Drosophila melanogaster: one gene and its partner. The protein of the gene in region 1 interacts with the protein of each later gene in a pairwise test. Each region holds a gene or a part of one and is shown on either strand. Other genes may lie near its edges.

What was found. The genes of interacting proteins can lie anywhere in the genome.
Region 2: the proteins of CG3987 (region 1) and CG3078 interact in a two-hybrid assay, tested with the Drosophila melanogaster proteins (one large-scale study listed by BioGRID).

What each region holds. Positions count from the first base shown.
Region 1 is NT_033777.3:15,136,397-15,142,215, reverse strand, and holds CG3987 (uncharacterized protein), read right to left. Parts: upstream 2,259-5,819; 5' UTR 2,170-2,258; coding exon 2,155-2,169; exon of another isoform or gene 2,095-2,154; intron 1,880-2,094; coding exon 680-1,879; 3' UTR 501-679; downstream 1-500. Other genes in the region: Glys (glycogen synthase), read left to right, coding at 1-13; CG3984 (uncharacterized protein), read right to left, coding at 3,312-3,481, 3,551-4,882, 4,943-5,054; CG6912 (uncharacterized protein), read left to right, coding at 5,291-5,374, 5,437-5,506, 5,685-5,744.
Region 2 is NC_004354.4:2,253,362-2,262,597, reverse strand, and holds CG3078 (uncharacterized protein), read left to right. Parts: upstream 1-2,734; 5' UTR 2,735-2,877; intron 2,878-3,856; 5' UTR 3,857-4,123; coding exon 4,124-4,270; intron 4,271-4,331; coding exon 4,332-4,718; intron 4,719-5,099; coding exon 5,100-6,438; intron 6,439-6,496; coding exon 6,497-6,858; coding exon of another isoform or gene 6,859-6,924; 3' UTR 6,925-8,195; downstream 8,196-9,236. Other genes in the region: temp (tempura), read left to right, coding at 562-647, 744-1,132, 1,183-1,904; CG3091 (uncharacterized protein), read left to right, coding at 8,511-8,640, 8,988-9,147, 9,200-9,236.

The DNA.
Region 1 (5,819 bases):
GGGGATTAAGTAGAGTTCTCTGCCAAATGGAAGGCCCTTATATTTGTAGCGAACAAACCAATTAAAATCAACACACGCGCAATATTACCATAAGTTCCAGTTGTCTTGTTCCACCAATGTTCATCGAGATACGGGCTAAACTCTTGCCCGGATGCCTTCGAAACTATCTACCTGCAATTGAAATGCCAGAACAAATGTTTTCACATCTAATCAAATTATTAATATTATGTATGCCCAGATCGCAAGCGTAAGCATTCGAGCAGGACGAGTCCAGATTTTATTAAACGTTGTTTAGTCCATAAGGAGAACGAGGTCTCCCCGCCCTGTCACCCAGCTTCATACCCTGCGTATCAAATAAATCGTTATTTAAAGTACACTCATTTATCGGACCTATGTACATTGTAAAGGAAATGAAATTATATTCAAAGCTTTCAGGCAGCAATTTATACATACATTTATGTATAACTTTCCGTCGACACTTTGAATTCGATAGCATTTGTATTTATTCATTTGGTTAGCAAAAACACTTTTATTCAGTAAAATATGTAGAGAAATGTAGTAGTTATATGAAGACACCTTAGTTTTGGTTAATCAGAAATACAATATTTCTAGACTATTTCTTTCTGAAGCAAAAGGTTTGCAGAAAATCTAAAGAGTTTGTGGTTTCATCTGGAATTGATCAGTTGTGCTTGCGATTGCGTTTGCTGTAGGCTGATCTCACAAAGTGGTGACGGCTTGGACGGCGTCTCCTTCGCTGAACTGAAACGTTGTAGTCGTCGTCGTCGACCAGATGTTCAGGTGACCCGCTGTTCTGCGAGCCTTTGTATTCCGCGTCTAGGCATTTTTCGATGTCGTCACATAGAGTCCATCCATCGTCATCATCATCTGCAATGGTTTTATCTACACTGGTGTCACCGCTGTTGCCATTATTATTGTTCTGTATGGCCGGTATATTGTTAAAGGCTGGATATGCCACATAATATGGATTGTACATCCAAGGAGGATTATACATGAGGGGAGCTCCGTATCCCTGGAAACAACCGGCACACTGGGCGGGCAGACCATTTTGCAGAATGTATCCGTAGGGATAATTGAGGCAGTGCTCGCAGATAGAGGTCTTAGGCCTCGTCGGCTGGGCAAAATCACTATTTTGGCCTGGATTCTGTCCGCAATTGAAGTAGGGCCAACTGTTGCCAGTGTAATGACACCGTGTAGCCTTGGGTGTCCTCCGCTGGAGGGTTCTCCTCCTCCGTGGCACATATTCGATGGTTTCGTGACACCTGTCGGAGTCCTCGGCTTCACACTGCACCACTATTTTGGCCAACATCACTCTGGCCTGACACTTTTCGCCACAGATCCGCTGACGGCTTCTTTCTCTGCAGTCGCGTCCATCTTCATTCTTACACTCGCGATCCAAACGCACCACATAACAGCACGATCCCTTGTCAGTGTAGCCCAGTCCAAAACGTCCTCCCACCTTCGAGACATTCTGATTCACCTGGACATTGACCTCATTGCGATTTTGGATTTGATGTTCGATTATATTGTTGATATCGTTGGTCAGCCGAATAATGTTGGTCGTATTAATAGGTACCTGGGGTGGTGCCACTATATTCGTATCGTTAATGCCCTGAACCATCAGGGGCTTGACGTACAGGTCCGGGCACACAGGACACTCGTCCTCGCACGACTGTTTGCCAGCGCAAACATTGATGCAATTGTCCCTGTTCACCTGGCATTCCTCGTAGTCCTGGAGATTGGGTTGATCGTAGTTCTGGAGAGGAGTATGTACCACTATTGTGTTGTTTTTCAGCTGATCCTCGGCAATGACTCCAAAGGTCAGCAGGTGGAGTATTCCACACATCATCCCCAGTTTCAGCTGCGAAAATAGTTAAAAACTCAATTAATTTTTTTGCATTTGTGTTTTTCCCCTATTCTTTAATTGAGCTAATAGGTCGAAGAAATTACTCATCGCTGATGAAAACCATTATCAATTTCTTTGACATTTTTCTGTACACATGATTAGATTAAAGTACAAACTTTTTTTTTGCTGATTTTTGGTGGAAAAATATTAACAATACTTGCAGAAATTTTGTTTTATTGGGGCTTAAAAGCGCTGCGAATTCCAGGACTTTCCTGATCCCGGTAACTCACCATTGAATGTGCCATTATCAACTGTTTGGCTCTTCAAATTTCTGGGACGACCGGCTATGCGTAAAGTGCAGTGTGAACTGCAGTGGTTGAGTGGAGGCTATGGCACCATCATCATCACGGCACCTGGAACCTACCTTCGAAGATAAGGTTAGATAACACTATCAAAGAATTGATTACTAGCGAAGCTTTCACTCAATTTGGAAATCAGAGGTTAAATACACTAGTGGGCATAAGTATTAAGACAAGTAATATATTCAATATATTTGTTTTTAACTCATTTACTTACAGGAAAATCCATCAACAGGAACCAAATCTCCCAAGCCAGTGAAGGCTACGCATCCCCAAAACATAAACAGACCCTGATGAATGACTTATTCTCTGATATACTGGTGCCACTTTTTTCCAATATTGTTACGGTAATCTGAAAAAAAAAATTTTCTTTAAGCTGTGAAACTCAAAAGAGCTTTTATCGCTCTACAAAACATTGTTCCAGAATAGATAGCTGTATAGATAAATTTTCAAAATTCGCAGTCGTACAACCATAGGTTCTAGAACGATAACCGACATAGTACCAGCAATAATGCAGCTAATAAACTTCTAAACAATGAGCCATCTATTAACTCTGAGTCAATCAGGACACTCTTATTAAACAGTAAGGGAGGAGTTAACTAGAGCACTTACATATTGCTTATCCCCGCCCTAATGTAAGAGTATTGGAGCTTTCAAGAAAAGAGCTAAGCTCTGCTGAAGCACGTAGGGTAATCTAATCTTATCATTTAATTTATAATCATCAGTCGATATTTGGAGATAAGATAAATGCTATTATAATTTGTACACTTACACAAATAATTATTGTCTAAGACATTAACCTAAATTATAGACACATCCGCTTTCCACAATTTTAAGCTCAGAATTGAATATTCGGAAATATCACATCAACACTATGGCCCCTATGACGACAAAACTATTACTGAAAAAGTTTAAGGTTGAACGGAATTGTGAGAGGCTTTAACTATCAAAAAGGCTCTCAAGTATTATAAAAAAGATTATTATAATTTGTTTTTCTTTATTAATTGCTTTATTTTTTTTATTGTTTTTTGAGTGGTATTGATTGCATAATGATAAGCACGTTTTCAATAATTTGCGCTTGGCGAGTGTTAATCCATCCATCCATCTTCCGCACGGCATCCGGTTTGACCTGCATATTGGGAGCAGTATTGGGCCTGGTCGTAATATACGCAGTTGTGGGTGCTGCATTTGTAGGAGTAGCAGTACGAGGAGCAGGTCGAAAGGTTACCCATAGCACAGCCACTGCAGTCGTAGAAGTCTAAAGTGGACAAAAAACGATGAAATTGGACTTTACTTTGCATGTAACAACTATCTTTACTGAACTCACTCTGGGGCTGCTGGCAAATCCCATTATTGGACTGACAGGCCTGACCCGCCCAGTTGGGAGGGATGGTCACCATCTGGCTGTTGGACTGAGTCCAGCTGGCTACTGCGGCCGGAGCGAGCATCACCTTCCTGGCACTGCAGACGGAACCGCACTGATGATGACTCCTGCTGAAGCACTTGTATCCGTCTTGACCCGCCTGGGTGGCGCAGACCCGCGGAGCGAATACGTTGCAGCAGGGGCTTGAGGGTGACTGTGGTGGCGCCACCACTTCCACCAGCTCCTCTTCCTCTTCGGAGGCTTGTTCTGGGATTGTGATGGAGGCGTTTACCATGACGTGGTTAACATTGTTGGTGATCAGGTGGGGCAGAGCTCCTGGGAGCTGGTGGACAGTGTTCTCTATGTGGATGTTACCGAGCTCCAATGGCTGAGGCTTCGAGCACCGGATACCCGTCCAAACATATCCAGCAGGACAGCGGGTCTGAATGCAGCGTCCTTCGATGTACAAGCTATTTTCCCCGCAGAAAAGTAGACGGCAAACACCTTTCACCAAAATTGTTCCCTCCGGACACCGGATAATGGGATCCGGTGGCGGCGTAGTGACTGGGACTGGGATCGGTCGAGGTGGTGGTGTTGGATTTGCTGGAGGTGCAGGCGCTGGTTGCTCAGTAACACTTGGGGGAGTGGTAGTTGGTGGAGAAGTTGGGGAAGGAGCATTGATACTAGGACCGTTCGTGGGATACGAAGATGGGCCGTTCGAATTACAGGAACTCGGACCATTGGCATTGGGACAAGCTGGAGTTGTTGGTGTATTGGGACAAAGTGGCTTATCTGGAACCACTGTAGGATATTGAGGAGTGTTGGGGCAACCGGGAGTAGCAGGAACAACATTTACATTGGGATTAAATGTATTATTCGGAACCACTGTAGGATATTGAGGAGTGTTGGGACAACCGGGAGTACTAGGAACAACATTTACATTGGGATTAAATGTATTATTCGGAACCACTGTAGGATATTGAGGAGTGTTGGGGCAACCGGGAGTAGCAGGAACAACATTTACATTGGGATTAAATGTATTATTCGGAACCACTGTAGGATATTGAGGAGTGTTGGGGCAACCGGGAGTACCAGGAACAACATTTACATTGGGATTAAATGGATTATTCGGAACCACTGTAGGATATTGAGGAGTGTTAGGGCAACCGGGGGTACCAGGAACAACAGTAGTCACAGGATTGGAAGGATTGCATTGAATCCCCGTTTGACCTCCGCACAGGTTACTATACATATTCAAAATAATGGGGCTGCAAACGATATAAGCATTAACCTGACCTAAGATGTGAATGATGTCATCAGTGGACTGACGGATAAACGCTTCCAAGTCGAACTTACCATTTTGGCAGGGATTTGGTGTATAATTGGTGATAACCGTCGCGGGAAATAGTCCAAGACAGATTAACAGCAGCAGCCGTTGCACACGGAAACCCACTTCACTGTCAGACATTTCGATTCGAACTGATCCCGGCTCACCGGTGACGGATTAGGAACGGCTGAAGCTGCAGCCCAAGCGACCTTCACCGTTATCTGGAACACGAAGGTTATCGCAGCGCCAGCAATTATGCTTTCCAAAGGCATCCCAGCGAGCTCAGCGTCGCTTCGATTAGTCTCTCGCCTAGTGCGGACCGCCGTACATCGCGAATCTGTGTCTCAGCTCCCGGATCAGCAAGCAAGTTAAACAGTATGCTTGTGAAGTCATTCAGATCGGCCCTGGTTGCCTGCCTGATCACCCTTGTGCCTTGCGGAAGTGCTCAAGCATACATCGCGGTAACCGAATGTGGTTTACTCTGAGGATTGGTGTCTATTCTTATACAAATATATTCCCCTAGAAGCCGACATCTCCGCAGGGATATCAGGATGTCAACGGCGTGTGGCAAAGCTCTTTCGTTTGTCAAACAGGTAAGAAATCTCTGAAAAAATGGTTAATCTCGCTGTACCAAAAATGGTGCCCAATTTAATCAGCAGCTGTGTATGACTATTTATAGAACTACTCAATGCTTTAACTGATAATTTTAAAAAAGTATATGAAAAACCAATGTATTATTATTATATTATTTTTGGTTTTATCGTTCATTAGGATATCAATTGAAAGCGGATGGAAAATGTTATCCACAGACTAACAAAACGTGCGGGCCTGGTAACTTAGTAAAAAACTTATAAATCTTTAATTCGTGAGATTTTTTGTTGTTTTTTTTTTTCGTTGTCATTTTGT
Region 2 (9,236 bases), on another chromosome or scaffold:
GAAAAATTCTAATGTCCCAGCTAATGCCTGCTTTCAATAGCCATTTTCCCGACAGTTGGTTCTGACGTCGCGGTTAGTAGGTTATCGTGGCAAGTGCCTCCTCTGTTGTTGTGCACACCAAACACATGTTTGCAAACAAACATATGCTCACCGTCGCCAAAAAAAGGGAACACATTTCCGAGCTTGCGGACCGATCCGCCGGAGAACCGCGCTTTGGGGTGAACCAGATTGACAGCCCCTCGCACTGGGCACTGAAATAATAATAATAATAAAGGCTAGATCTCGTGTCCAGGCCCCGGCTTAATTGAAATTTATTTGTTGTGATGCGGCCGCCTTTGGGGGTTCCATAGTCGCGTAGACAGGGTTCCAGCCTCCGCCATCTTCTCCTCTTCCTCCCCTTTCCAAATCTTAATTAACCGGAGACATTGAGCATGTTCATATTAATTGGAGGCAATCAATGTGCCTGAGACCCTCGAATCGAACGGAACGGAAGCGAGATCCCCGAGGAAGCAAAAACCACATCCCCATTGAAATTCCACGTTCGGACTATACTCAAATTCCATGGAGGAGGAACGCAACGAGAAAAAGGTGCTCTGCGAGAAGATCATCAGGGACATCAATGCGGTGTTCCTCAAGGATCAGGATCTGTGAGTCCAGCATTTAGTTCTACTATAGATCTAATCAGACTGTTAGCAATGAAAGCAAGCCTTGATGTCCGAATATATTGTTCTTTTCTCCACCAGCGCCTCCTTTGAAATTATACCCAAAGAAGCCAACTGCAACAAATCGCCGGTTGTGCATGTGGAGCACAATCTGGGCCTGGAATCGTGGTGTGCCCAGCATGTCTACGACCACGCCCACCGCACCCTCATCTCCCATCGCCGTCAAACCACGGCGCAACAGCTGCGGACGCTGCAGCAGCAGCAGCAGAGCGACTCCCTGGCCAAATACCTAAACGTGGCTCTGCTGATTAATCCCGATGTGACCACCTTTTGGCACATCCGCCGTCAGCTGGTGCAAAAGAATCGGCTGAGCATCAACAAGGAGCTGCAGTTCTCCGCACTCGTGCTCTCAATCAAACCGAAGTCCAATGAAGCATTCGCCTACCGCCGTTGGCTGTACTCATTTCAAAGTAAGTGGACGTCGGCAACTGGGGATCCCATTTCATTCCATTATTTCCAGGTGCCGATGCTATTGACTGGCCCAATGAGATCGGGATATGCGAAAGGGCCGCCGATAGATGCGCCAGCAACTATCACGCCTGGTCGCACCGCCAGTGGATCCTTCAGAACGGCCCATGCCTGCTGCAATCGGAACTGCTACGCACGGAGAAGTTTATGCGGAAGCACATCAGTGACTACAGCTGCTACCACTACCGCCAAGTGCTCCTGAGTCGTGCATATGAGCTCAGTTTTGCCCTTCCCAAGGATTCCGGAGCCAGTGGTTCGTCTACGTTGGCCAGTCTGCAGCATCTAATGACAAGCTATGGCCTGGAATGTGAAGCCAACGCTGAGGATCTGCTGGGTCTCTTGCTACCACATGTGGATCTGAGTTCCGTGAGCAAGCAAAGGCTAATATCATTTCTTTACTGCTGCAACGTTGCCGCCAACGATATGCGTCTGTGTGCCGAGCAGCGCTTGATGTACGGATCGCGGGATTGCTTCGAGCTGCATCGCCGTGCGGCACTCAAGTTCATCGTGGAGCAGTGCGTGCGCCTGCAAATGGGCTTGCCCAATGGCCAACTGTTACCAGTGGCGTCAGGCGATCTGCGTTCGCATTTGGGCAACTTTGACTTTGAAGATAATCCGTTTTTAAGTGCCGTACGGCGCGAGGAGTCCACCCTGGGTGGTAAGCACCGGCGGTGGTGCAATCTTCACCTCAGCTTTGGATATCCAGCGGACTAGACAGCGCGACCTGATAAAGCTCAAATCAATCTACCCCAATAGAATTACTCACTCCCGGCCTTTCCGTTTGCCCATCCGTTCTGAAATGTGGCAAGTGTATAAAGACGTGTGTTTTATTTCCTATCTAATTATCGTCCCAAAAATACAGAAACTTGTGCAAGACAAATTGTTAAAGAGTAAAATACTAGAAAGGAAGACGATTCAAAACGGATTTGGAAACGGAAATGCCTCTATTCTACTCTACTATAAATGTGCGATCCAAAGACAAAGTTCAACTAGCCCGATATGACAACGGATCTCACTGGTCCGCCAATTGCATTTCGATATCTATTAGCGTTACCTGTTCGTTTCTGTTCTTAATCTGATCCGGGCACGATTTGTTAGCCCTTTGTTCAGAAGTAAAACTTAACCGATTATCGCCATGCCATGCACGTGTTTGTTGTTAGCCAATTGCAGTTAGTTTTTAAATAAATCCAAATCATAGACGACGCCTTTTTTATGCAGTTTTGAACGTCGAGCCAGTTCGGCTCGTTCATTTCGAGAATATCGATTCGGTAATGGCCGTAATGAGCACTCAAAATGCATTGTATGGGGGTTTCTTTTGCGCAGAGCAGTTGTAATATGGGATGGTATCGTTTTGTGGCGGTGCAGCCACAGCCATGACATCCCATCCCTTCCCCGAGTGAACTGGGGATTGTGGGGTAACGAGTATCGATTGCGCATGCCTGGGATGCGAGGTGGGATGTGCGAGATGCTGCCGAAGGCCTGAGATGACAACAATTTCAGCAGCGGACTCAGAATCGCCAGGCCGTAATCCCTACCAGCTTTTCAGTGTGTTTCTGGAGCAGTTCGCGTGCGGCGGTGTTTTGTGGAGTGTTGAGTGGCGAAAGTGCTGGCTTCTTTGAAGGCTTACAAACAATTTGTTTCCGACTCGTCGAAAAAAAGTGCATTCCAGTCAACCGAGAAATCAAAAGTAATAAACAAAGTATATTATTCGATTTTTTTTTTTAGTTTGCTGAACGGGGTTCCGTTTGTGGATACATGTGTACAGGCCAAGAGGATTTCAAGGGAGCATTGCATCGAGAGTGTGTGTGCGCTTTTCTGTGCCCGTCTTTGTTTGGTTTTAAAATATTCATATTCGTTTTCCATCCGCCCTCTTTGCATTTTTTATAACTCCCACCCACTTTTCCTGGCCCAAGGGGCGTGGGCCCAAAACTACGCCTCCATCGCAGTTCACTTCATGGGTGTGTGGTGTTCGTGAGGGGTGGGGGTTAGTTTATGATGTTTATGAGTTGATTATGGGCTGCAAAGTACTGTGCCATTGTCTTCGGGACCTGTTCCCTCCGGGCATCCCCAGGATCTTGTCCTGCACCATCCCGTCGTGTCCTGGAAATATACCTCGGAATACCTGACCCTGGGGCACCATCGGCTGCACATGTGTAGATAACACAAAATGGACACACCTGATGATTTTGTGCCAGTGTGGGGGGTGGGGTGTGTGTGCGAAGTTCCTACGGCCAAGGGAGCTATACTCGCGGCTGCACTAATAGCAGCGGCTAATAGGCACATTATTGAGTTGCCAAGTAATCCTACTAGTGGAAACTCAATCTAATTGGTGAGCATTAAGGTGCCACTTCCTTAGGACTTCAATCAGATTAGGATTAGCTAGCCTAGAAGCTTATTATTCCCACCATCCTATTTTTGCGACCGCGAGTGCCAGTGAATGTGCCAGAATGTAGTGAGTAAGTAACGGTAACGGCAACGGAAAGAACATGTGCGCATACGTAGGGCCTATGGCCCACATAAGTATGCAGTGCACGTACGGCCAGGTGTATGTGTGTGTGTGTGCGAGTAACGGTTTCCAGGTGCAGGTGTCAACTCGATAAGCAGCCGATAGATGGCGCTGCCGTTCAGGCCTCGCAACTTTTTCATTTCCTGTTTCCACTTCACAGTCATTCCGCTGCAGGAGAACAATATTTGCGTTTTGACACAGCCTTATACGCGGAATTGGGGGCGTGGCAGGTCGGCGGCGGACAATGAACCCGCCTACGCAGCAAGGACAATAATTGCAGACTGGATTGGAATGGGATGCCCGTGGAGCAGCAGCATGAGTTCGCCGTTTTGGAGCGATGGCAGTACTGGATTCGCAGTGGCCCCACAATCCACATAACTCGCACTACGGGCGCTAGGTTTTGATAAGTTGGCAATAATCGCCGGAAATGGGCAGTCTGCCGAATCTTCACGAGCTGGAGGAGGCGGAGCGCAAGCGGGAGAAGCGACGGGAGTACGAACTTCTGCTGGAGCAGCGGGCTCGGGACACCAGTCGCGAGCGGGAGCGTCTCTCCGCGTTTGCTCAGCAGCGCAAGGTGAGATCGCCTGAGTAGATCCCCCCTCCTTACGACTTATGTATTTTTCTACTCCACTCAGCAATCGTCGTATAATGCTTACATAATGGCTGGTCTGGGGATTGGTGGCGGATCCTTGAGCCTCAATGCCACCTCAGGAACTGCAACAGGCAACGGAGAGCTGCTCGGTGGCAATGGGACAACTGGCGGAAAGGGTCCGAACCAGGCAGTGGGCCCAGCTTCTGGATTGGCCACCAGCTCGGGAGCTCCGGTGGCCACCAGTGGCTTTGCGATGCTGGGACTGGGCAAGAAGTATGCCCCACACTCACACCACCATCAGCATCAGCACCAGCATCAGCACCAGCACCAGCACCATCAGCACCGCCATTCGCTGACCACCAGGCACAGAGTGCTTCGAACCCGCAGTTCAGGAGGAGCCCAGAACGTCTGGGAAGAGCAGATGATGGAGGTGAGTTCTCAGGTGAACACATAAAAAGTCCGCCTCTGTGTGAAAAGCCTTTATATAATTCATGTCACTTGCTTTCCGGCATGGTGACACCTGTCGCATATAAATAGAATCTGGGAGCTTATCTCCCTTTTTTCCTGGACACTCAACTATCATGTGGCGATGTGTGCACAAAAGGGGTGCCCTGTGGTCATTGGTGTGTCGTGAAAGGTGAGTGTTCGGACACGGACTCTCTTTCCAAGTTGAACTACAACTACTTCCCTACTCCGACTACTCCCCCTTTGCTATTGTTAAAGTGAAAGGTAGCTGGCTGTAATACCATTAGCCTGCCAGATGATTGGATTCTTGCTATATCCTAATACCCTTTTCTTGCATCTTTTCCAGCAGCACTTCACCACATACTCGCCGTCACCCATTTCGACGAGGTCGCATCGCATAAATCCGGTGTCCTCGTACCAGGTGCAGGCTGCTCTGGCGGCCTCTCGTCGTCGGGAGTCCATAAACAGCTCCATTGGAGCCACCTCCATACGGCGATTGATAACGCTGAACAACAGGAATTGCCGGCACAAGGTGCCAGCCCATGTGCGCCAAAAAGTGTGGCGCCAGTTTAGCTGTTTAAGCTTGGCCCACGGACTGATGAACTGCGTTCTGCTGCCGGTGATGGCGCTCCAGGGCTCCAATGCGGTGTGGCACCATCGGGAGGAATGGTTGCCCCTCGGTCCGGAGGTTGGATCCCTTCTGCTGAGTGCTCTCTTCCTGGTCGCCGCTGGTATGAGCCTGCCCAGCATTCGACTGATGAAACGATATGGTTATGGGCCACTAATTGTGGCAAACTATATGACAGTGCTCCTATTTCTTCTGTCGCACCTGTACGCCTCCATTTACACCCTTCTACCCGCCTATTTGCTGCTTGGCATGACCTTAAGCGGATCCGCTGGCTCCAAAGCCGCGTTGATTGTCCACTTTGGAGGGAAGTTGAGCTGCTCCTGCGATTCCCAGCAGTCGCAGGCGGCGGTCGATGTCTTGCACGAGGAGCACAAGATGTTTTGCAATCGGGATCAGAAGGTGAGGCGTCTGGCCAGGTGGTTCAGGGTTTCCCAGGACCTGGGTCTCATAGGAGGAGCCCTTCTGGCATCCATTTTGCTGGCCTGCAGCGATGGAAACTTTACGGGCGATTGCTCCGGATTGGTTTACTATGGAAACGAGAGCTGGCCACCACAACTGAGGGATTTCTACAATAGGAACGAGCACGGCGACAGGATCTGTGGGGCAGACATGTGTCCACTCAGAGTGCAGTCAATCCTGGAGGCGGGATGGGCCAATGGGAGCTCCATACCCAGTTCCATCTATGCTGGCTTCATCGAAAGTGAGCCTCGAGTGGCCGGGCAATCCTTGCTCTGGCTGTACGTTCTGTTCTCCATGGTATCATTGACCCTTTCGCTGCTGATAGTGGTGGACAAGGTGCAGGCCATAGGCTCATCGCGACCGGAGCGTTCGAGAGATGTAAGCATCACGGACACCCTGCTGTTTGCCGGACCCCTGGCCTATTTTGTGGGCACGGAACAGGCGTATATGATGGGTGACTTCTTGAGGGCCTTCGTCACCTGTTCGCTGGGCATCGGAATGATTGCCGGCGCGTTGATTGGCATGGGTCTGATGCAGCTCATCGTCTCCTGTACCTTGAGCATGCTGCTAAGGCACGTCAAGAGGATCGTCGTGATTTGTGAGTACCACCAGATGGACACAGGGTACTCGAAGTTACAACGCTCTTCTCTTTGCAGTGGCTGGTTTCTTCTTCCACTCCTGTCTACTGCTGGCGCTGTCCAGTTGGAAGCCCTCGAGTGACGACAGCGCCCTGTTCTACGTGATTGCCGCCTCGTGGGGTGCCTGTAATGGGATGTGGGAGACGCTCCTGCTCTCGCTGGTCACCCTCAACCATTCCAGTCATGTAACGGAGGTCCAGGCGCCTCTTCTTGCCCTTCGCTTCCTGGGACTGGGATTGACCTTTGCCGGTCACGGCTTCCTCTGCGAATCGATGAAGATCATTGCATTGGTGGTGCTCCTCGTCATCAGTGTGCCGCCATATGCCACTCTGGAAATCCGATTGGAGGCGCAACGCAAGGCGACGCTCGTCAGCTTATGACGCAGCATCTTCAGCTAGTCCCGACGAATGCGACGGGATGTCGTGGCCCGGACGCACACCATGTGACATGTTTCGGATACGGATACGGACGGAGAACTGGATCCGGATCCGGGTCGGCGGCCAGATCTGCTCGAATCGCAGCCCGTCAGTATGGAACGACAGACACAAGTCAAGCGACGCAAGCTACACTTCAAGCTCTGTGGACAGAAGTTGGTCGATTCGGAGAGGGATACAGTTTGAAGGATGTTTTAACTGGGGGCAAAGCCGGCTATTGACCTCTGTCCACGAGCCTAGAGGATAAGACTAGTTAATAGGTTTGATCTACACTCATGGGGGGTTCCCTTCTCAGTGGGTGCATTCTCAATTTATAGCATTTGCCAGTGCCAGTAATGTTGTTCCATGTCTATAACCTATCTATCAAATAGAGAAATAGAGAGAAAGGGAGTAAGCAAGAGAGAGAGAGAGAGAGAGAGAGAGAGAGAGAGAGAGAGAGTGAGCGAGCGAGCGAGCGAGCGAGCAAGAGAGGAAGAACATGAGAAGAGGAGAGAAGAGCTTTATGAGCCACAATAAGCATCTAGCATGTAGAACGTTATATATGTACCAGTATATCCGATCTGAGATGATAAATGGATACGATATCAATTGCCGTATCTGTATACATTTATGTATTTCGCCAAAGGCTCCTCCAAAAAAAGGTTTTTGTGTGTATTTCCTAATGTAAACTCCAAGGCATAGGTGTATTTAATTGGAACTCCAGTTTGCAGTTTATAAGCCGAAGAGAGATCTTATCCGATCCGCTCCAGAGTTAAAGCATGTTATGTATGTATGTGTTGTCGGTGTTATGTGCGTTATATAGGTTTCGAGACCCTCCACTTTTGCCTACCCCCATAGATGCATCCCGATTCAGATCCAGAACCAGATCCAGATCCAGAACCAGATTCAGATAAAACTAGCTGCAAACTGTTATGATAACAAGGTGAAATCCTAAGGTCTAAGGTCTAAAAGCAACAATGTTAACATTTTAAAAATTTTGAGAGTAACCATTTTGCGACCCTTGACGATTTCATACATCGGGCTAAGTATTACGAGTATGTTGCTAGCCATATACTACGAGTATATATACATATACATGTACACATAGACATAGGCATAGACATACTATATATTTTTTCTTAGCGCTGGTTCCATCTGAATACTGAACAAAGCTGGTCGCAAACGAATTAAACCGGTGGGACAGGAAGCCAAGTACGATAAGATCGAGTTCTACGTGTATTGGATGTGTGTTGTATATTGTAGGTGTCCATCTCCAGATCCAATAAAGATTTCAAAACAAGTCTATTAGTGAGTGTATTGCTGATTCGGCTTGCTCTCCAATGGAGCAATTAAAACCGCCCTCGTCTTTGCTTAATTGCAAACAACTGGACTCATCTGTGCGGCTGCTAGTGGAGCTTTGCATTGGAGCTTTCACTCGCCGATCCGATCGCGAAAAGCTAAAGATCGCGTCCGAATAGTGGTCACACACTCGTATCATTTCCAGCGGATGTGTGTGTGCGATCGGGCTAGTTAGCTTTATCAATTGGGGGTACTTAGCTAAGTTACTTGCTTAGTTAGTGGCTTTCTGCGGCCCCTGAGAGACGCATTGGGCTACAACAATGGATAAAGATACAGGGGATAAGGACTCCGCCCCCGAGACCAGCGCTTCGCCAGCAACTGGATGGAGCGACAAGCTGACGGATCTGGTCGCCTGGTTCGAGGCCAATCCCAATCTGCCCGAGAAGATCGGTAAGTGAGTCACTGGAATCGATTTCAAATGCGTTTCGCTCCGATTGATAACCAGTCAAGTGGCAGACGGAATTAATGGGCGCGCAATAACCTGTTGTGGTAACAATCCATAAACCTTGTAACAGAGCAGTGCCAAAGGTCAAGTGCATTAGGCACCTCCAGTGATAGCAAGGCACTTCCTCCTTGCTGAAGTTGGACTGACATGCACTTAGCTAGTGCCATATGCACACAGATACATTGGACATTGATTGAGAATTGAGAATTCTATCTTCATATAGTTGCAATGTATCTTTTGTTGTGAGTGCAGTAGCATCTAGCTTATCAAAATTTCCAATTCTTCCCGATAGAACCAATAGTTATGCTACGATTCCTCAAGTGCACGGCTTTTGATGTGGAACGCACCAAGGCCCTGGCGGAGCTAAATTATTGTATGCGCAATAAGAGCCCACATCTGTTCATGGATCGCAACATGGAGGACGAGATGACCGCCGAGGGCCTGAGGGTTTCGTAAGTGCAGCAAAAGATTCAATGAGCGAGTATTAACATTTGCCCTTCACAGGGACCTTTTGATATTACCCGGAGTCACTCCCCAGGGA